Linked DNA regions of Tamandua tetradactyla. The protein of the gene in region 1 purifies or fractionates together with the protein of each later gene. This does not show direct contact. Links are inferred from orthologs where the notes say so. Each region holds a gene or a part of one and is shown in the gene's direction. Other genes may lie near its edges.

The links.
Region 2: the proteins of MIA2 (region 1) and MIA3 purify together in Homo sapiens (affinity purification with western blotting; 6 studies listed by BioGRID and IntAct, counting the BioPlex papers as one, with this or other methods). This does not show direct contact. The link is inferred for Tamandua tetradactyla from reciprocal best matches to the Homo sapiens genes MIA2 and MIA3.
Region 3: the proteins of MIA2 (region 1) and PREB purify together in Homo sapiens (affinity purification with western blotting; 3 studies listed by BioGRID and IntAct, with this or other methods). This does not show direct contact. The link is inferred for Tamandua tetradactyla from reciprocal best matches to the Homo sapiens genes MIA2 and PREB.

Annotation. Positions count from the first base shown.
Region 1 is NC_135340.1:14,287,206-14,294,312, reverse strand, and holds the start of MIA2 (melanoma inhibitory activity protein 2), read left to right. Parts: upstream 1-4,001; 5' UTR 4,002-4,199; coding exon 4,200-4,314; intron 4,315-5,891; coding exon 5,892-6,025; intron 6,026-7,107. UniProt on the Homo sapiens protein: Plays a role in the transport of cargos that are too large to fit into COPII-coated vesicles and require specific mechanisms to be incorporated into membrane-bound carriers and exported from the endoplasmic reticulum.
Region 2 is NC_135330.1:83,194,041-83,201,377, forward strand, and holds the start of MIA3 (transport and Golgi organization protein 1 homolog), read left to right. Parts: upstream 1-4,268; 5' UTR 4,269-4,300; coding exon 4,301-4,433; intron 4,434-7,337.
Region 3 is NC_135329.1:10,898,028-10,905,521, reverse strand, and holds the start of PREB (guanine nucleotide-exchange factor SEC12), read left to right. Parts: upstream 1-4,449; 5' UTR 4,450-4,676; coding exon 4,677-4,811; intron 4,812-5,366; coding exon 5,367-5,559; intron 5,560-5,728; coding exon 5,729-5,949; intron 5,950-6,138; coding exon 6,139-6,219; intron 6,220-6,326; coding exon 6,327-6,451; intron 6,452-6,616; coding exon 6,617-6,790; intron 6,791-6,895; coding exon 6,896-6,968; intron 6,969-7,154; coding exon 7,155-7,314; intron 7,315-7,494. Other genes in the region: PRR30 (proline-rich protein 30), read left to right, coding at 1,546-2,778.

The DNA of each region.
Region 1 (7,107 bases):
TGCTGGTTTGAAAGGATGTATGTCCCCTAGAAAAGCCATGTTTTAATCTAAATCCCATTTCATAAAGGCAGAATAATCCCTATTTAATACTGCATGTTTGAAACTGTAATTAGATCATCTCCCTGGATGATATGATTTAATCAAGAGTGGTTGTCAAGCTGGATTAGATGACGACATGTTTCCACCATTTGGGTGGGTCTTGAGAAGTTTCTGGAGTCCGATGAAAGAGGAAACATTTTGGGGAATGAAGGAGATTCAGAGAGAGCAGAGAAGAACAACATAGCCAAGACAGCAGAGAGTCCACAAGACAGTGACCTTTAGAGATAAAGAAGGAAAATGCCTCCCGTGGAGCTTCATGAAACAGGAAGCCAGGAGAGAAAGTAACAGATGATGCCTTGCTCACCATGTGCCCTTTCAGCCGAGAGAGAAACTGTGACTGTGTTTGCCATGTGCCTTTCCAGATGAGAGAGAAACCCTGAATATCATAGGCCTTCTTGAACCAAGGTATCTTTCCCTGGATGGATGCCTTAGATTGGACATTTCTACAGACTTGTTTTAATTGGACATTTTCTCAGCCTTAGAACTGTAAACTAGCAACTTATTAAATTCCCCTTTTTAAAACACCTTCTGATTCCGGTACATTGTGTTCCAGCAGCTAGCAAACTAGAACAGAGAGACAGCAGGATCGGACAGAAGTTGAACTGCAGTGCAGGTCTAATAAAGTCCAGGTCAACGCAGCAGGCAATTTTGGGGGAGAAATGCCATCAGGGTATTTCACATCAGGCTGAAATGGCCCTATCTTTGTACTCCCTCCTTACTTAGCCATTGGATGTGGGCTGCCCCAGGAAGAGGTTTTCTCGCATTAAGCAACAATAAAGTGGGAGCAGATGTCTTCTGGCAAGTACCTTGGCAAGAACTTTCCTCATTTTTTCTTATTTCAAATCTCCTTCAGGCCAATTACTAAGCAGACTTAAATTTAGATGGACTCTCGTCTCTTTTAACTTAGAACATGACTACACTGATTAGTTCAGGATTTAGCAGTAATATCTTAATGCTGAGTACAAAATAAGGATAGTTAGATTGCACTGATTACTAAATATTCTTGATTTGATAGTAGATTCGATCATGTAAATTGTGCAAATAATCCTGTGCCACATTTTGGAGTTGAAGAGCTGATCCTTCTTTAAATGTCTTTGACAACATAGCTTACAGATTTGCAAAGGTATCCAAGAAACTAACCCACACTTTTTGTGTGTGGTGTACATGCAACTATGCAGTGCTCTGATGACCAGCCCAGTGACCCAGATTCAGAGCCATCTCCCTCCGCGTGCTCTAGCAGATTTTTTCTAAGGATGCAAAAACCTTAGAACTGAAAGATCAGTCTTTCTACTGATGATTGTGTTCTTTTCTTTTTAGTGACTTGAAACAAAAGTCCTTCACGTTAGCTTGCTCACTCCCAGGTATCTGTCTTGTTTGTGTCAGTCACTAGATGGAGTGTGGTGTCACACAAGTGCAAGGTTCTAACTTGAGGCTGAGCTCCTGCAAACACGTTTTGCACATATTGGCGTGCCCAATACAGTGTAAATGTCCAGCAAAGGAGAGTTTGGAAAAAATATTTTCTCAAGACTGAAATGGGGCAACCATGACTTCAGCTAATCTATTGGAATCTTGAGGGTTTTTTTGGGGGGTGCATGGTCCGGGAATTAAATACAGTCTTCCGCATGGAAAGCGAGCATTCTACCACAGAACCACCCGTGCACCTTGGAATCTTGAGTTTTACACAGAAATTTCTCAAATAGGTCTTCGATTCTCATTAAGTGACAGTAACATTCAAATGACTTGATTTTTTAAAATGCAATTTTATTGAGATATATTATATATTCACATACCATATAATCATCCAAATTGTGCAATCAGTGGTTCACAGCATCATCATATAGTTGTGCATTCGTCCTCACATTCAATTTTTGAGCATTTTCATTACTCCAAAACAAATAACAATTTTAATAGCCGTATTGTTATTTTTAAATTTATTTATTTATTAATTTAAAAAATTAAGAACAAACAAAAACATTAACATATTATTTCGTTCTATATATATAATCAGTAATTCTCAATATCATCACATAGTGTATTGTTATTTGAAAATGATATATGCTCACTGATTTTAAAAAAAGGGAGTCAAGCAATATAGAAAAGTACAGAGAATAAAGTGAATATAACCTGAAAGCACACCACACATTCTTATCATATCAGGGAACATTATTTCGGATATGACTTTCGCATTTTCTCTCCACTTACAGAAATATGCATGCTATTTCAAATACATGGAATCATTCCGTACTGCTGCTCTGGAATAGTGTCGCTGCAGACAAAGTAGATTTCTTTCTGAGGCAGATGATTTGATTCTTGATGATAAAGCAGAGTGGTTAAAATTATGGGGAGGCTGTAGGCTGAGCCCTCAGTCTTGGGGTTTGTTCATATGAAACTTAACCCCACAAAGGATAGGTCAAGCCTACTTAAAATTAAGCCTAAGAGTCACCCCCAAGAGAGCCTCTTCTGTTGCTCAGATGTGGCCTCTCTCTCCAGCCAACACAACAAGCAAACTCACCACCCTCCCCCTGTCTACGTGGGACATGACTCCCAGGGGTATAGACCTTTCTGGAAATGTGGGACAGAAATCCTAGAATGAGCTGAGACTCAGCATCAAGGGATTGAGAAAAACCCTAGAATGAGCTGAGAATTAACATCAAGGGATTGAGAGAAACTTCTCCACCAAAAGGGGGAAGAGTGAAATGAGACAAAGTGTCAATGGCTGAGAGATTCCAAACAGAGTGAGAGGTTGTCCTGGAGGTTATTCTTATGCACTAAGTAGATATCACCTTGTTATTCAAGATGTAATGGAGAGACTGGAGGGAACTGCCTGAAAATGTAGAGCTGTGTTCCAGTAGCCATGTTTCTTGATAATGATTGAATAATGATACAGCTTTCACAATGTGACTGTGTGATTGTGAAAACCCTGTGTCTGATGCTCCTTTTAATCTACCATGTCAATAGATGAGTAGAACATATGGAATAAAAATAAATAATAGGGGGAACAAATGTTAAAATAAATATAGTTTGAAATGCTAGTGATCAATGAAATGGAGGGGTGAGGGGTATGGTATGCATAATTTTTTTTCTGTTTTCATCTTATTTCTTTTTCTGTTGTCTTTTTATTTCCTTTTCTGAATTGATGCAAATATTCTAAGAAATGATCATGATGATGAATATGCAACTATGTGATGATATTGTGAATTACTAATTATATACGTAGGACAGAATGATTACATGTTAAGAATGTGTTTCTTTGTCGTATTTTTTTTTAATTAAAAAAAAAAATTATAGAGAGGCACAGTGCCTAGGCTAAAATTCCTTCCCCACTGCTCAGTATGTGACACTGGGCAAGTGATTTACCCTATTTCTATGTGCCTCAGTCTCCACCTATGCAAAAATAGGGACAATAATGTTACTACAAAGAGTTGGTGTTAAGGTTAAATGACCAACTTATAAGTGCTTAAAACAGAACCTGGAATATGGTAAGTACTTAATATATTTTGACTATTATTATTAAGTAAATATGGCAATGTTCAACTCATAGTGACACTGAAGAGTTTTTAATATGAATGAGGGCTATTTTTTTTTCAAATAACTTTTATCATGACATTTCACAACTTATGCTTTTTAACATAAATTATTACTTTTCTACATGTCTCGCGCTGATGGGATGTAGTTGGTGACTGGTCTACCTGAAGACTTTAACAAGACGAGATTGAATTTGCCTTTCTCTGGAGAGAAAGACTTGTCCTGTTTAAGACTTGTCCTGTTGAATGCAAGGTGCCTTTAAATGACACGGCTTTGCACGGGTCAACTTGATGAAGACACTAGTCCAACTAAAAAAAAAAAACTCTGTTAATTATTAATCTCTCATGTATTCTCTGGATAACTGACACTGCAGATTGAGAACAGAGAATGTTTGTCTCTCAAGTGAAGCCTAAAGACTGATAGAAAAATGTAGTTTTCAAGGGATTTTTAAAACCCTACTCTTTTTTCCTTATATTTAGTGAAGAAAACAGGGTACTTCCCATGTTGGCTGGCATAGCTACACCCTTTACAGTAGGTGTCAACCTTGTGTGGGGGTCTTGGATGCTGGTTTCGGCATGGCGGAGCACACAGTTCACAGAATCCTCCTTTGGGTTATTGTTCTGACAAAGAGTCTGGAGAGCGCAAAACTGCTGGCAGGCTTTAAAAAATGTGGTGACTTGGAGTGTGAAAGTAAGTTTGCCTTTTTCTTTCTTTTTCCACTTTAGTTGATTAAGGGGCTGAAATGACAGGATACGTCATTCTGGATGGATGCGTTTGATAAAAATGGGCATTAATATTATTGAGAAATATTTGAAATTGTAAACTATAGCTTGCTATAAAAAAGAAATGCTGGAAACAAGGCATTTTGTGATAGTATTAATGTAAGTATACAAAGCGGCAAAGATCAGCCTGATATATAAATAAATCAGAAATTATTTTAGCTCATACCTCAAAACCAAATTAATCAGCCTTTGTTATTTTGCTTTGTGTAAAAAAATCATTCCATTTGATAGTACTTTATTTATGAAATGCTTGTATTCTTTCTATTTCACAATCAGAATTTTCCTATTCTTATAAGTTTGCTAAAAATGTTTTTATTTCAAACCACCATGATTTATTCCATCTAAACCTTATCAGAATTAATCATTTCTCTATTAATTTATGATACAAAAATTCAACATGAGAGTTAAACATGCCATAATATAAGCATCAATAGTATATAAGCTAAAAATGTGTAAACATTTTCCTTAACATTTTGATATGTAATTTATTATACAGAGAAGGTTTACTAGACAATGTTTTATATTAATAATGTTTGTTTTCTTCTTTATGTTACAACCCATTGTAGTATCCTTAGGGCCAGACACAGAACATGGAAACGTTCATGTTTATAATTAATAATATTATAATATTATTTTGATCAAATTACAATTGCAGTATAATCAAATGTGTTTTACACATAGTAGTAGTATTATCATAGTTAATATGGAATGTACACTATTTCATGCATTGAAGGGACAAATCCAGCATATTTGTTTATGAATAATCCGTAGCCACTTAGGGCCTGCTGTAGGCTGGGGTCTGGGGCAGGAGGAATGCATAGAAGAGGAATCAAAATGAAATGGATGATAAGGTTCAGGTACTCTCATTCTAGTGAATGGTGGCAATACAGGTCAATACAGAAAAAGTAGGATATGAATTGAACAGGGAGAGAGAGGGAGGGGTTTCTATGCTGAGGAAAGAGCAGAAAGAACAGTCCAGGCTAAGAAAGGTGAATGTTGCAGTGGAAAGAACCTCTCTGAGCCTTAGTTAAAGGTTCATTTGTTACACTGAGATGAGATTATTTATCCTACAGATCTGTTTCGAGGATTTAGTAAAATAATAAATATGAAGGTGCTTAGCAGAATGCTCGGAATATAGTAGGTGCCAGGAAGCAAACTGATTATCTTTTCCTTCCCTTTCCTACAGCCTGGAGATTGGTAGTGACATATTCCAGGGACAGTGGATAGAAGAGTTTGTATAAAAGGGTAGAAGGAGGTACTGCCCCTTTAGATAGGGAAGGTGGGACAGGGTGGAAGACAGCCTTGGATATCAAGTCATAGAGCTTAGACTTTATTTTGTGTACAGTCATACAAAGTGGCCATAAGTGATATATAAGGAAATTAGTGTTTGGTAACTTCTATAGCATGGATTGGAGGAGGGAAAGGCTGGTGGGGGAGGAATGACATTTTAATCTAAAATGTGTTTTTCTTTACATGTTTACATAGCTTTAATAAGCAGAGTCTTAGCCGTGAGCGATTACAGAGGATCTGACTGCCGATACCTGAACTTCACCAAGGGAGAAGAGATATCTGTGTATGTTAAACTTGCAGGAGAAAGGGAAGATTTGTGGGCAGGAAGTGTAAGTATCTAGTCTTAAAAAACAATGCAGAGTAAATGACCAGCTTGCACAATTGCTTACTTTATATCTCCAAAGGAACTTTAAGAATTTCAAAGCACTGTATAAATATTTTTGAAAAACCACCTTAACATATTTAAACACACACACAAATGGTCATATTTGGTGGTAGTTTCAGAATTTCTATAAATAAGGCTTTTAGGGAAGCAGTCTGGTTGAGATAGAGGACTAAGAAAATGCCTTGAAATTAATTTTATTTAGCATGCATATTTTTTAAAAACTTAGATTTTATATTTATTTGAAGTGATTTGAGGAATGCTGATGGAGATTATGGGATGGTTAGGCAATCCCAGCCACCCCTTAGTGCTATCAATGATCAAGTATAAGAAAGATTGGGAAATTTTAATCAAATTAAAAGACATGTCTTTCTGAGCAAATAAAGGACTGAGTTAAGATGCTAAGAAAGGCTAGCAGCCTAGAAAAGCTAGGTGTGTGAATTTTTCATTGAAAAAATAACAACTAGGAAAGACTTTCATGTAGCTCAAAGTCCTAGTACGTTGAAATTCCTAGAAACTTGAATCATCTTTCTGATTATATAACATGCGAAAATTAATGATTAATGTTTGCAACTGAAATTAAGTTTGTGTCTTTGTGTCATTATGCTTTATAATAAAAAAGATGCCATGGTAAGTGATTTTACTCTAAAGTTTAACAAGTATGACCAACCTGATACATTTATCATTTCTATGTTGACTATTCATGCAATTTGCTGCTATGGTCACTGTTTGAAGTAGCAGCTTCTATTTGAAACACTGTTTTTTTCCCATCAGGGCCTATATGACAACCTCTGACTACTTCTGGACACAACTATTTGTCTGACTCTGTAGCCCTCAAGATTCCTTACTACCCAGGGCTGCCTTAAATCTGCCATTATCTGTTTTGAATGCCTGGAGCTATCCAATGCAGCTGTGAGAAAAATAACACAGCTGGTGTCATAAGAGGCAAAGGAGGCATTCTTCTTTGCTCACTATGTGTGAATCCACCAAATCAGTGTTTAATGCATGGAACCAAAATGAAGTTGCAGG
Region 2 (7,337 bases), on another chromosome or scaffold:
GTGTTTTATACCATTCTCTGAATGATGATTGTTTTATCATTGGCAACGGACTAAGTTCTTTCTGATGACTTAACTGTGAGATCATCTAAACATTCCTCGGAAACACTATGGCAGGTGTACAGTGACACACGTTATTATGCTCTGACTGGTTTCAGATGTAGCATCCTTGTCTTTTCAATCAGACTACAACTGCAAATTCTCTGAGGTCAACGGCTCTCCATTTCTTCTATTTCCAATCTCCCTCCCCCTGCTCAAGAACCCAGTAGAGTCTGAATCTCACTGTAGGTACTCAAAATGAAACTGATTGTAGCCAGTTATTTCTAATTAGCTATTATAAACCCAGAATTAGATACTTTTTTTGGTATGCTGTTTGGCGGGGTCACATTTCATTGTTTTCCCATGTGAGTATCCCGTTATTGCATCACCATTTGCTGAATTTTGTTTGTTTGTTTTGCTTATTTGATTGTTTTTGGGGAAGTGCACCGGCCAGGAATCGAACCCGGGTCTCTTGGATGGCAGGTGAGAATTCTACCACTGAACTCCCCTTGCTCCTCCAGATACATTTATTTTTAACCAGAACTCAACCTAAACCCTACCTGACATATTAATAAATACTTGGGATTTGAATTTATGTTGATTAAACATCAATACTACCTACTCAAATGCTAAGAGTAGAAATGATTGCTGATTCATTCACTAATTATACATGCTGGTAAGAAGCACTGCTACTCCCTTGCCTCTGGCGTGGTCAGCTGGAATTTCTTTTCTGATTATCCAACAAGCTTGTCAGCATATTAATATAGCTTGAAGGTAATAAACCCTGGAAAATCTATAAGCTGGGGAGTCAGTTCTCCAGCAACTGGGAGCCGTGACCCTCATATACAGGTGTATCTGAATACTAGCCAAAGTACATGTGAGGTAAAATAAGACTAAGTTACCTCATTTTGAAACTTTGCTTCAACTAATGAACTGTCATGTAATTCTACTCTAAAAAGAAAAAAGAAAGACTAAAACAACTTCACTTTCTTTAATATTCTTGTGGTATAATGGGGAAAAAAGTACAGTATGATTTCATTTGCTTCCTCCACAACTTATATGCCCTTATTTAACAATAAATATATTCCAGATTCTGTTCCCGGTGCTGAGGTTTCTCCTGGGGGAGGGAGGACAGGACACAAAATGACTTATTCTCCTGTCACGCTCCCCCTTAGTACTCTTTCCATATCAAAGCTTTGCTTAGGTTAAGAGGAGTATCTACTGATACTGTGTGAGGATCATGTGTTCATCCGACACATTATTTGTTGAGAACTTCATGCACATCAGGCATTTTCCTGGGCACTGAGGTAATAGCACTGAACAAACAAATTCTCTGCTTCTGCAGAGCTTATATTTGGGCTAAGGAGGCACTCAAGTAGTTAAATGTTAAATTATGCTCTAAGAAAAAAAAAAGCAGGGCGACAGGCTAGATAATCATGAAGGGCAGCTCTGTTTTAAGCAGGGTGGTCACAGATGGCCTCTCTATTAAGGTAGATATGGCACTGTTACTGAGCCTTGGCACTGTTACCCAGCCTCGATGAAGGGAGGGAACTAGTTAGCTGGGGAGACCACCGGGAGAAGTGTTACAGGTTGAGGGAGGACAGCAAGTGCAAACGCTCTGAAGCAGGGCTGGTCTTATCTGTTTGGGTGGAACAGAGTACGTGGAGAGGAAATGGGAGTCGAGCAAAGGAAGTCAGATCCACTAAGGAAGTGCAGGCCGCAGTAAAGACATTGGATTTGCCATAGGAAGGAACTGCGGAGGGAGGGGGGATGGCCAGATTTATGTCACAGATGTATCACTCCGGTGGCTATGAGGACTAAGACTCTGGGCAGACAAGCGCAGGGTGAGGGAGAGCAGTGAGAAGGCTGTTACAACATCAGCTGAGAGACAGGGTCTTGCTAACAGTGTTAGCCTAGCAGACCGTGAGAAGTGGCCAAATTCTGGATATAGTTAAAATGATTATACTGAGTGAAAGAAACCAGCCAAAAAAGAATACATACTGTATGACTCCATTTATATCAAACTCTAGAATATGCTGACTCATCTATAGCTATAGAAGGTTGTGTGGAGGAAAGCAGGAGAGGGAAACAAGGATTACAAAGGGGCACAAAGACTCTTTTGAGGGTGATGGGTATGTTCACTATACTGAGTGTGGTGATTGTCTTACCACATAGGTGTGTACATATGTCAACCAAACCTTATCAAATCATACACTTCAAATGCGCACAGTTAACTGTATGTCAACCATACGTCAACAGAGCTATTAAAATAAAGAGGGCACAGGATCGTCTGATGGATGGGATTTGGAGTGTTTGAGAAAGAGAGGTATTAGAATGGTTTGTAAACTTTTGGCTTGAGCACCTGCAAGATAGGAGCTGCCAAGATAAAGAAGACTGAAAACAGAAGGTTTGAGAAGGAAAATAAGTTTGGTTTTCAATACATTGAGTCAGAGATGCCTATAAGACATCCCTAAGATTCTAAAAAAACCACTTAAAAATAGTTGAAATGAAGAACTCCTAACAGTACCACCTCTTGGACAAAGAGCACCTCCCCTTGCCTTTACATACATTCTCCTAGAAGCTTCTGAACCACACTAGACCAAAGGGATTTCTAATGGCATGGCAGACAAACACCCGTGATCTTCTCTTTCCCACCTTTTCATGTGGATTTCACACATGGGACCACATTTTCCTTTGGCTGTAAAGGAATCCAGTTAGCTTGGGTTTGATCGGGTTGGAGGGTGATAAACACACTGAACTGAGTCTGCAGCTGAAAAGCCCCTGGCCAATGACAAATGAAAAATGCTCCAACCAAGATGGGAGCATTGTAGCCACTCGGCCCTGGGCTAACCTGCAGGTCTGTGCGCTTTTATATATACAGCACATGTAGATAATTTAGTTATATTACGATTTTGACAAGCTTTTCCTCCTTTACTCGGAAAGAAAATCCAAAAACTACTTGTTGCATCATGAAGAACTTACAGAAGTGTTTAAAAAGGCAGCTTTTAAGGTTGAAATCTTAGCTTCACTCAGCAGAGGTGTGACTGCGTTGACTTACTGTCACTAAAATGAAAAGTGATAGGATCTACTTTGGTAAGGTACTACAGTTGTGAGGATTACCTGAATTAATACACATAAAGACTTTGAAATAGCACCTGGGCATAAAGAGAGCACTCAATAAATATTAGCTCCTATTATTTCGTTTTCCTCTACTCTGATATTTATAACATTCGCTTTTATATTCATAATTTAATTGTTTTATATGTTAGTTATTTCCACTAAATTGTGGGCTTCTTTAGATAAGGGCCAGGATATCTTATTCATCTTTGACTGCCATCCTCTCCCCACATCCCCATGCCATGAAACAGAACCCAAACCATTTGTGTTGAATTAAACTACTTTTGCACTTAGCAAGAATGTCAAGATCTCAGCTAGCGACCCACTGCCCACCCCACATCCCCATCCCCTCCCCCGCCCCGAGGCTCAAATACAGGCCAAATAGGAACCTGGCTCTAGATCACTCCCGTGACCCATTAACTTCACGCACACACCCCTCTCCTTAGGGGACGGCCGCTAAGGAAGCGCTGGAGTCCGAAGGGTGGGCGCCCGAAGCCGGGGCAGACCGCGGACGCAGCCTGGGGCTCAGCAAAGGAGGCCCCAAACCTCGAGAGGATGGTGGGCGGGCCTGAGCTAGTTTGGGGTCAGACCAGAAAGCAGAAGCTGTAAGAACACTCCAGAAAAGACCTCCGCTGGGACGCTGCGGGATCAGGGGATCCCGACGTGCGGAGCGGGGAGTGCGACCAAGGGAGCCGGGCGGGGCGGGCGGAGAGGGCGGAGGGCGGCGGTCCGGGCGGCCGCGGCCCACGGCTTCGGGCTTCCGTCTCGGCGCCCCGCTCGCCCCTCTCCTTCAGCCCCCGCTGACGTGTCAGCAAGCGGCGTGCACCCCTCCAGGGCGCCGCGTGGCTCGTGCCGCCGCCCGCCCCGGCGCCCCCGCGGCCTCCTCCCGGCGCCCCCCCGCGGCCTCCTCCCGGCGCCCCCGCCCCGGCGCCCCGGCGCCCACCCGTCCTCCTCCCGGCGCCCACCCGTCCTCCTCCCGGCGTCCCCGCCCCGCCTCCGCGCCCACCCGGCCTCCTCCCGCCGTCCTCGCCCGCGCCCCGCCTACCGCCCGGCCGGCCTACCCCGCGCCCCGCCTCCGACCCGCCGCCCCCGCACCCCGCCCGCCCGGCCTCGTCCCGCGCCCCGCCTCCGCGGAGTTGGCCCCAACATGGCTGCGGCGCCGCGGCTGTTGCTCTGGCTGCTCGTGCTCGGGCGGCTATGGAGGGTGTGGGGCCAGCCGGACAGCAGCCCCGGCCGGCGCTTCTCGCGGCACAAGCTGTGCGCGGACGACGAGTGCAGCAGTGAGTGCGCCGTGTGCGGTGCCCCGGGGTCTCTGCTGCGGCGCCCCGGGGGCTGGCGCGGGGGCGGGGGGCTGGCGTGGGGACCCGAATCCGGCCACCCTTGCGGGCCTGGCTGGGGTGGGGTGGGGTTTGGGGGGGGTCGCCAGCCCGGTGTGTGGCGTGCGGAAGGGGGGTGCGCCCCTGTTCCTGCGTCTCTGCCTCGCCGTGCCGGCGCCAGGGCCTCTCGGCCTTGACGGTGGGGCTGTGCCTCCCACTTGTTGCCGGCGTTTTATTTGTCCTTTGCTGACTCGGGCGGGGGTGGCCCCCAGCTCCCCCACCCCAGCTCCCCAGGGCCACCCGCCGCGTCCCAGTAATCCGAGGGGAGATGGGTCTGCACCGCATCCGAGCGCTTGCCTGCGCCTCCGGGACCCGGTGGGTGCAGTCGCCAGGGGTGGATGCGCTTAGAGCTCGGCCGCCTGGTCGCAGGTTGCGGTGGGCTTGGGAAAGGCACGCTGACCCTTCATCCTCCGCCTTGCTGCTCGCCTGGGGTTTGGGGCTCGTTTGCCTTTTGAGCAGCGGGTAGAGTTCAGGTTTGATCCGGGCGCGGAGTCTTCCGAGATCTGCGCCCAGACTCTTGCTGTCCCATGCCATTTCTGTGCATGCAGGTCTCCTTGCACACTGCCAGTCAGGGCGCAGGAGCGCCGGCGTCTTTGGCTTTTGAAAGCGGCCACCTGGCAGTCTCTTTTCTTTGCGCAGGAAGCGGAATTGTTCCCTCTCCCGGATGGGGGTGGGGGGAGGAGGGGGGATGGGCTGCGGGGAGGGCAGAGACCCCTAGATGAAGAGGGTTTTTTAAGTAATAATGAAGACTTAGCCGTCTTAGAAGCCAGCTGGCATTAGCCTCAGCTCCTTGTGCTGTTGGAATCCCTTCCTACGTTTGCCGAACCAGGATCATTCTCAGGGTCTCCCGTCCGTTCTCAAATAACCTTATGACTTCTTCACCACCGCTATTAAAAAGCTTGTGCATACGTTGCAAGCAATACATATAGAAGAAATTTATAATGAGCAGACTAGGTAGCCTCAAGTTTACTGTTTATATTCAAATTGGTGTTATGCAAAAACAGATTTCTGAAGTTGAAGAGTTAATTTGCATTAAGCCATTCCTAGAGGTTTCTATAGGGCGAATGTAAGTAAACATTGTAACAGCAAAAACAACTTCCACGACTTCTTTTTCCTTCACTTTCCTCAAAGCGAAACTGGGCTATTAGCAAGCTAAGTTGAATATGCCAAAATGTTTGCTGTTTTTCGCGTCCAAGCCCTGCCCCACCTGACCTCCTGAACATAAGTGACCTGGAGAATCACATCACTGCCTCAGTACTGAGAAATGACCTGTGGGGTTGGAAGGGCCGACAGTTGTGTAACATAACTTGAGAAATGGTGTGTGTCCACACAGATATGACCAGACACAACAGGCGACAGCATGAGCAGGGCCTGGGTTGTGTGAAATAAGAGTTTGATAGGGTGGTGTGTGTTGTGTGTAAGGTGTCCTTGTGTGCTTGTCCGGCACCTGTTCCATAGTGTACACTGAGCGGGCACGTGATATGTGGTGTAAATCCTCACTGTCTGTTCTAAGGGGACAAGAGGAACACTGCCATTTCCAGTTCCGGAAGGATCCCTAGCCTAAATGTTCATCCCTTTTTTGGTTTTTGCCTGAGCTGGCACCGGGAATTGAACCCGGGTCTCCCATGTGGCAGGTGAGAACTCTGCCACTGCGCCACCGTTGTTCATCACTTTTAACCTTGCCTCTCGCCCACTCATATCTGAGTAAAGATGCTGACTTACTAAAATCGGAGTTTAGCTTCAAAAAATGAATTATCCTTTCCAAATCGATATGTTTGTCCCGCAAATATGTAGATACTTAAGTATTTTATTGCTAATTGTCTTTTGTTTTCCTAATTGGCTTTTTAAAAAAGTGTTATTTCCATTTCATCCTTTTCTCCCCTCTGCTATTTAAATACGTTTATTGGCCATTACATCAGAAACTGTATTTGGCCAACAAAAAGAAAAAAATACTGCCAGTTTCTAGATTGAATGTGATTTAAATCCTGCATTTTTAAGACTGAAGGCAGCAAACATCCTTAGAGCTTTTACTTGGTCCCTGCCACATGTGATGTCAGCTTTTGAATTTGTTTATAGAAAAATTAAAAAGGCGTTTCTTCCTTTGTTTTGAAATCTTCTTAATGTCAAATATAGTCAACGTTATTTACTTTGAGAAAATATCGCTTTGTGATGTGATTGGATCTCCAATATAGTGTGACATCGTCTCCTGTTAATTTATTCAGATAATGTGCAGAAAGAATAGCTTAATTGCAAATGAAACTAATAGTGTTTACTGCTGCATGATAGCAGCTACAGCCACTTAAAGGTAGTGCCTTTTAGTGGTTAGTTCACGTTTAATTGATCTCTTGGGGCTTCCTGGTTGCCCTTCCCAGTTCTCTATTAGCCCTGTGATGGCCGTACTAAAACTACTCAGCATCAGCACTTGATTATATTCATTTGAAAAATTTTTGCTTTTTATGTTTGAAACAGCAAAGATTGAGAATTAGAGGGTTGAATAGGGAACCAAGAACTTCACCAGCCAGTTGTGGTAATGGGCAGATGCCTTTCATTTTTTAAAAAATTTTTAATATTTCTATTGGCAAACATCAACACACGGGCACTCCAGCCATATCATACAATCAGTGGCTTACAATATCATCACCTAGTTGTGTATGCCTCACCATGATCATTTTTAGAATATTCACATGACTCCAGAAAAAGAAATAAAAAAAAGAAAAATAAAGAACTCATACATCCCATACCCCTTACCCCTCCCTCTCATTGACCACTAGTATTTCAGTCTGCCCAATTTTTATTCTTTATCTCTCT
Region 3 (7,494 bases), on another chromosome or scaffold:
GGAAAGCAGAAAGCTGAAGGGAGGGATTAGAGAAGCTGTATGGTCGGTGAGAAGCAGAAGGCCATGGAGGAGGCAGTGGACGCGCCAAAGTATACGGGCAGAGAGCTGAGGCAGGGGCCAGGGCACCCAAGAACCTCAAAGGCGTCACAGTTTTGTCAAAGCCAGCCTTTGGATTCTATGACATCAGCACCTGACCTTGTGACATAAGCACTAGATGCCAGGGAGAACTGTCCCCAGGGAATGGAGCCCCCAGCTCCCAATGGGGGCGGTTCGCCACCACTTGGATAAAGTCTCAGTCTCCCAGAGGCTCTGCATCTGCTGGCCCCACTGCTGCTCCTGCTGCTGCCACTGTTGAGCGTGATAAGCCATCCCAGCCAGGGCCAGGCTGAGCAGGAGGACATCAGCATCGGGGGCAACGAGGAGTCAGGGGAACCGCAGTGGCAGTATGCGTGCAGAATCCCTGATTCAGGTTTAGAAGAAAAGAAATCTGTAACACAGAAGACTTCTGTTTGGCTAAAGGAAGATTGAGGGCAAGTCCCAGACAGAATCTGGATTAGCCTGAGTTTAAGGTGACAGACGCTGGGGGCAGAGAAGGTTAGATCCGGTTTAGTGTCTCTGTTCCTTCTTTCTCAGGTTCCCGCATCACGGGAAGTGCCTTGTGAAACAGTCCAGAGGAACTGTCTCTGGTAAGAGCTCAAAGTACCACAGCATCCTCAATTTCTAGTTCCATCTCAACCCCCAGCCCCAAGCCCACTCCTCCAACTCCACCCTCTCTCACTTCCTGCTCCTCTCCTCCCCACTTCTCACCTTCCCTGAAACATTTTGTCAGTTCTTCCCACCCCAAAGACTAATGTGAATTTAGGGTCTTGGTGAGCTCAGCCTGGAATGGGCACACAACACAGACTAGAGAGGAATTAAAGTCCCCCTTGGGAAGTTCAGGGGCCACTGTAGTCCATCTAACTCCACAAGAGTAGAGAAATGGCTCTGGAGCTGGGGTAAAAAAAATCACAGGTCATAAACCCTTGAAACTAGGACAGCCAGAGACCACCTTGTCCCAAGCCCTCATCTGTGGAAGGAAAAAAACAGGCCCAAGGAGGGAAAGTGGTTTGTCTAAGGACATCCCAAAAGTGAGGAGCAGGATAGAAACAGACCAATTCACCCAACATCTTGGCGCTCTCCATTTCTCCACAGGTTCTATGGGCTGTGTCCTCCTCCCTGCCCCACCCTGAAAATCTCCATTGTCCCACAGCTCCCAAGAGGCTGCTCTGATTCTCCATCATCATACACCCTGCATCAATGGCTTACTGCCAAGAAGAGAGAGGTCAAGCTTAGACCCACATTCCTGCCTGAGCACTCCAGGGAGCCTGGTCCTACAGGGGTAGGAGTCTCCTTGGCCTGTCACCTGCCCCAGGCTGGAGCCACACTTTGTGCGGAGAAGGCGGCCTTGATTTCTCGGCCACATCTAGCTTCAGAGATATCAGTCCTGCCTCTGCCAGGTTTCTAATCCCTGGTGTCATCACTCCAGTTCCTTCTGGATTCAAGGCAATGTTTCCTCAAAACAAGGACCAGGTGCAGCTACAGAACACAGTGTCCTCTGGGCCTTCCCCTGAGGGCCTCTCAAAATTTGTGGACTCTTCTCCCCCCAACCTACAGCCTCCCTGTTCCCCTCAGTCAGTGCCTTCCTCCCGCCCACATTTCTCCTCTTCTCCTCAATCCCATCTCCCCGGCTCTTCTCTCCCTCAGTCCTATTCTCCCCACTCACATTTCTACTTTTCAGACTCAAATTCTGACTCTTTCCTACATCCATACTTTCGTTCTCTCCCAAGTTCCCCCACTTTCTTTCAACAGAATCCCCCCTCGCCCTTCCTTCCACGTTCTTCCTCTCCCCCTCATACTTGTTCCTCTCCCTCTCAGCCACTGAACTCCTCTCTCCCCAACTCACATTGCCACGCTCCTTCACATCTGGAAGACCTACCTAGCTCCACTCTCCCTTCTCCAAGCCCCAGCCTGTCTTCTCCTGGGGTCCACTCCAACAGGCAGACATGGCCCTGGCATCAGCACAGGGACACCGGGGCCCCTGGGGTGGTGGGGGGATGCATACCAAGCGAGAGGGACCCTGCGGAATTCAGGGACCCGGGGGCCCTTGTCCAGGCCCTGGTGGTCCAACTGGGGCACCGCCGCATTGCGCACGACCTGCAGTTACTGCTTTTGCAGCGTCTGTGGCTAGGCAGAACAGGCCGGGCCCCAATAGTGGAGTATCCCATATGCCTGGTGTGTCTCCGGCTGCGCAGCCCCTCCTGCCCCATCCCCAGGTACAGGACCGGGCCCAAGCTGCTCGCTTTTCCCCAACTATTGCCCTGTGCACAGGGCCAGGACTCTGGGCCGCTCCACATAGGCATCGGCTTCGGCCTCCGGCTGCCTCGGGGCCAAGCCAGGGCATTAAATCTGTTGCCAGAAAGAAAATCGGAGCTGGCGGGGCATCAGGGCGAGGCCACTCAGGCTCCTGGCTATCAAGCCCAGGCACCTCAGGCCCCAGCAGTGCAGTCCCCAACATCTCAAGCCCCAGAGGCTCAGGCCCAGGCAGATCCATCCCCAGGCACACCCTCCCAGACCGGGAGCCCCAGGTCTCCAGGCCCTCACTCACCAAACACCATCCTCTGCTCAGGGCTTCCACCCCAGGCACCAAAACAGGTCTCTGCCTCCCCGAAGCCCAGGCATTCCCCTGTCCCAAAGAGGCCTGCCTCTCTAGAGCACATACCCCAAAAGTTATCATTCTAGTTTCAGAGCCACGGAGGCTCACTGGAACGCCCCCTCCAAACCCAACCCTTCCTGCCAGGTCCCAAATCTGTAGGACTTCCGGAGACACTTTGAAGGGCTGGTTGGCTGGGGGCCAGGTGTGTTCTCCAGCCTTGAACCCTGGAAGCCCCTTATGGAGTCTGCTCTCTCCTGGCTGAAGAGGACCAAGGGCACCAGAGCCCCTATTCAGCCTTCAGTATACCCAATAAAGCCTGACCCCGCAAAACTCCTGTTTGTGTCCTGTTGAGTAGATAGATTGGGTGGCTGTATCTACAGGAGCACCAGTCACCACAGGGGCCTCTGAGGGGTACACTTCCTTTCAAAGGAAGGTGTGGCAAGAAAGCCAGAACCATGTACTTGAGGAGGGCAAAGGACTCGCAAGGCCTGACCACCTGGAATGTAAGGACAGCTCTGCCAGACCCTTCACATTGGATTCAAGACCATGAGGCAGATTCTGGCATCCCCAAGATGAACCTACTGGACTTATTCCTCTGGATGTGCGTTGGGTTAACACAAATGCCTGTTGAGGTAAGCAGTTCCACAAGCCGGAAAGGGCATTCCTAGCATCCATTCACGGGGGAACACGCAGGTCCTCAGGAGACCAGAAACCCTCAGGACCCCTCACGCCACTGGTGCAGGAGTGGGAGGGTGAAGCCACAAGAAAGGTAACAGGAGACGCCCACTGATGCTAACCGTGAAGGACAAGCGTTTGGCTAAGGTAGATAGTGGTTTTCTCTTATTATGAAGTAGCAGGTTCCCATTTGAAGTCAGGATTGTGAAAAGGTTAAATTACAGCTTAGGGCAACCACCACCCATCCCCTTTAAATTAGGTAAGACTCAGAGATGCCTCCTTGTTTACTTGTAACAAGGCTGCACACAGACTCTCCACATTCCCATTCTTTGTTTCATAAATGCCCAGCTGAACAGCTCGTGCCCGCTGACCAATCACAACCAAATGCTTGTTGACCAATCTTTGGTTAAGCTTCTCATCTCTCAGACCCCTGAACTTTAAGGGCACCTCCCAGAAAGCAGGCTGCTTCGGCATTAGTATTCTCTGACCTACCGTCTGATCAGTCAACAGTTCATCCCACTTCCCTACGCCCGGTTCTTTCAGTTCTTTAAAAAGAAAACCTTTTCTGCCTAACTCATATTGCAAAACAGTCCCCTCCTCCTATTGCAATAGTCCCTTTCCGCCTTACAGCAATCCTTTTGAATAAAAGCTTTCCTTATCAAGTCCGGATTTGTTTTTTAATCGACTTCTGTCGGATTTTAAAGTCCGTGCTGCCTCTTTCATGAGGTAAGAGAGGTGGACAGGGTTCTAGTGTGTGATCTTGGACAAATCACTTCCTCTCTGGGGTAAAATGGAAAGGCTGCGTTTGTACGAGTCAGTGTATCACCCCCGAAACGCGAACAGCCCTACCAAAGATGTCTTTATTAAAGGTTTATTAACTTTGACTAGACTCACCGCCTCAGATTCCTAGCCCCCACGGAGATTCCCTCGAAGAGGCGCGCCCCGCCGCCCCGCACAAAGATGGCGGAATCTGTCTTCACAAGGGGGCGGCGAACCACAATTCCGGCGCCAGCGTTGCGTCGCCCCGCCGCCGGCTAGTGCTGACGCGTATTGGCGATTCTGCGCTTGCGCAGAGAGCCCTGGGGTAGGTGCGCGTGCGCACTGCGTGTGTGGGAAAACCGGGGTAGGCGGATCCGCGGTAGAGACGCGAGTTGTCAAGAGTTTTGATAACCTCGCGGTGTTAGAGGAGCCGGGGTTCTTCCCCGGGGCGACGCGACAGAGTTTACCAGCGACCCGGGCGGGAGTCGAAGCCTGGGCGAGGCATGTCCGGAGGGCCACGTAGCGGGCTGTGAAGCGCGCAGTAGGCGGGATGGGCCGGCGCCGGGCGCTGGAGCTCTACCGGGCCCCGTTCCCGTTGTACGCGCTTCAGGTCGACCCCAGCGCGGGGCTGCTCATCGCTGCGGGTGGAGGAGGCGCCGCCAAGACAGGCATAAAGAATGGCGTGGTGAGTGCACCGTTGCAGGGCCAAGCCGTGGGCCAAGGGTGATTCTGAGGTAGGCCAGGGGTTGTCGGGGCGGGCCGTAGTACATGCTCGAACTCTGCCTATCCTCCGTGGGGATTCCCGGCCAGCCAGGTGCCTAGGCCCGAGTATCACCGGAGAACTAACTCACCAGGCAGTCGAGAGGGGTAGTGGAAATCGCGCACGGCGCTGCGTAAGGCAGGGGCACTTCAGCTCGACCTCAGGAGCAACTCCCAGGGTCTTATCCTGTCCTTTTCCGGGTAAGGCACAGGGACGTTTGTGCCCTCTAGCAGCTACCGGAGTTGCGCCTTTGACTTTTAGACCAGGTTCCTTCACTTTTCTGAGCATCATCCTGTCCTGGAAACTGGAGATAAACCCAGCCCTGCTTGTTGTCCAGATAGATATAAGGCCCAAATAAGATAAGAACTAGAGAAAGCCTCCTGAACTAATAAGTGCAGTAAGCAAAGGGGTCAGACCTTTGCCCTTGAGGTGCTCTCTGGTCACCCCGAACCTTGCTCATCCTGGTTCCCTCTCCTGCAGCACTTTCTGCAACTTGAGCAGATTGATGGGCACCTGAGCGCCTCCTTGTTACACTCCCATGACACAGAGACACGGGCCACTATGAACTTGGCACTGGCAGGTGACATCCTTGCTGCAGGGCAGGATGCCCACTGTCAGCTCCTGCGCTTCCAGACTCATCAGCAGAAAAGCAACAATAAGGCAGAGAAGGCAGGTGAGGACTCTCTTTTCTAGCCCTTTGGGAAATTAAATGAGTCAAATCCTTTCCAACGTGGTCTCAAAAGAACTGTGGCTGGAAGTGGGGTTATGGTTGTGGGCTGGAAACTGGGTGGTCACCTGACATGCAGAGATATCTAGGACCCAGAAGGCTGTTTGTATTGCAGGTTCCAAGGAGCAGGGGCCTCGACAGAGGAAGAGGACTGCCTCGGCACAGCAGAAATCTGGAGCAGAAACCCACCATGAGGGGGTAGAACTCAGTGTAGAAAATTTGCAGGCTGTGCAGACAGATTTCAGCACGGATCCGCTACAGAAAGTTGTTTGCTTCAACAACAATAATACCCTGCTTGCCACTGGAGGGACAGATGGCTACGTTCGTGTCTGGCAGGTGGGGTTTTGGGGGTTAAGGAGGATGAGTATCAGGAGCAGCAAGGCCAAAATTGTTGGAAATTAAGTGGAGGTTTTAAGAAACTTGTGAGTAGGCCTGCACTGAGTGACCATTAAAGGAGGAAAGGGCTGGGGGTCATTGTGCCCTTTTTGAGTACCTGGGCTGACTGTGGTGGTGGTTTGGCTGCAGGTACCTAATCTGGAGAAAGTTCTGGAGTTCAAAGCCCATGAAGGGGAGATTGAAGACCTGGCTTTGGGGCCTGATGGCAAGGTGAGGAGGTGGGGGATAGAGGGGTGGACAAAGTAGGTGTTTAATGCTGCTTGCCCAGTGAGTGGATCCCCTAACTGCCTGTCCTTGGAATCTTTATTCCTAACTAGTTGGTCACTGCGGGCTGGGACTTTAAGGCCTCCGTGTGGCAGAAAGATCAGCTGGTGACACAGCTGCACTGGCAAGAGAATGGACCCACCTTTTCTAACACACCATACCGCTATCAGGCCTGCAGGTGCAAAGACCTTGGAGGGTGGCTAAAAGAGGCACAGACCAGATGTAGTAGGGGAGTGGGTAAAGATGCAGGGGAAACTGGGAAGGACTATGGTCTTGGGGGTGTTAGCTGAAGCCTGACCAGTTTGGCCCCAGGGAGCTGAACAGTTTCTCTTCCGGCCCCCAGGTTTGGGCCAGTTCCAGACCAACCTGATGGGCTACGACTCTTCACAGTGCAGATTCCCCACAAGCGCCTGCGCCAGCCTCCACCCTGCTACCTCACAGCCTGGGATGGCTCCACCTTCTTGCCCCTTCGGACCAAGTCCTGTGGCCAGGAAGTTGTCTCCTGCCTCAGCATCAGGTGTGAGGCAGTGGTGGCTTGGCCGGGTGCTGGGGAAGGCGCTGGTGGCGATTGAGGGTGTCTCACAGGCCTCCAGGACAGTGAGCACTTTATTTTTTGTTGCAGTGAATCGGGCACCTTCCTAGGCCTGGGCACAGTCACTGGCTCTGTTGCCATCTACATAGCATTCTCTCTCCAGGTAATGGGTGAAGGTGGGCACAGCCTGAGGACTCTTTGGAGTGGGGACTTCAGAACTGCCGCTAACCTGAGTATACAGGAAGGAATCTGGCACAGTCTAGAGGGAAAGCCTATTGAGGGCAGGGGACTTGTTTCTGAGAGAATTCCTACCTGGGCTTCCCCTCACTAGTTCTCCTCCCACCCCCAGCGCCTCTACTATATAAAGGAGGCCCATGGAATTGTGGTGACAGACTTGGCCTTTCTGCCTGAGAAGGGTCGTGGTCCAGAGCTCCTTGGGCCCAATGAAACTGCCCTGTTCTCTGTGGCTGTGGACAGTCGTTGCCAGCTGCACCTGCTGCCCTCACGGAGTGAGTCACTGGGGAGTTTGGGGTGTGAGGGTGTGGAGGGGAGGATACCACTGCACCTTCAGGTATAGCAAAAACTTGCCCCGTGGAGAATGCGCTGCTTGACTGTAGCCATCTAGCCCCCTCCTTGAATGGACTGAGTTGAGGGGTCTCTTCTTCAGGCTGAGAAGCCCCTTTGCATGC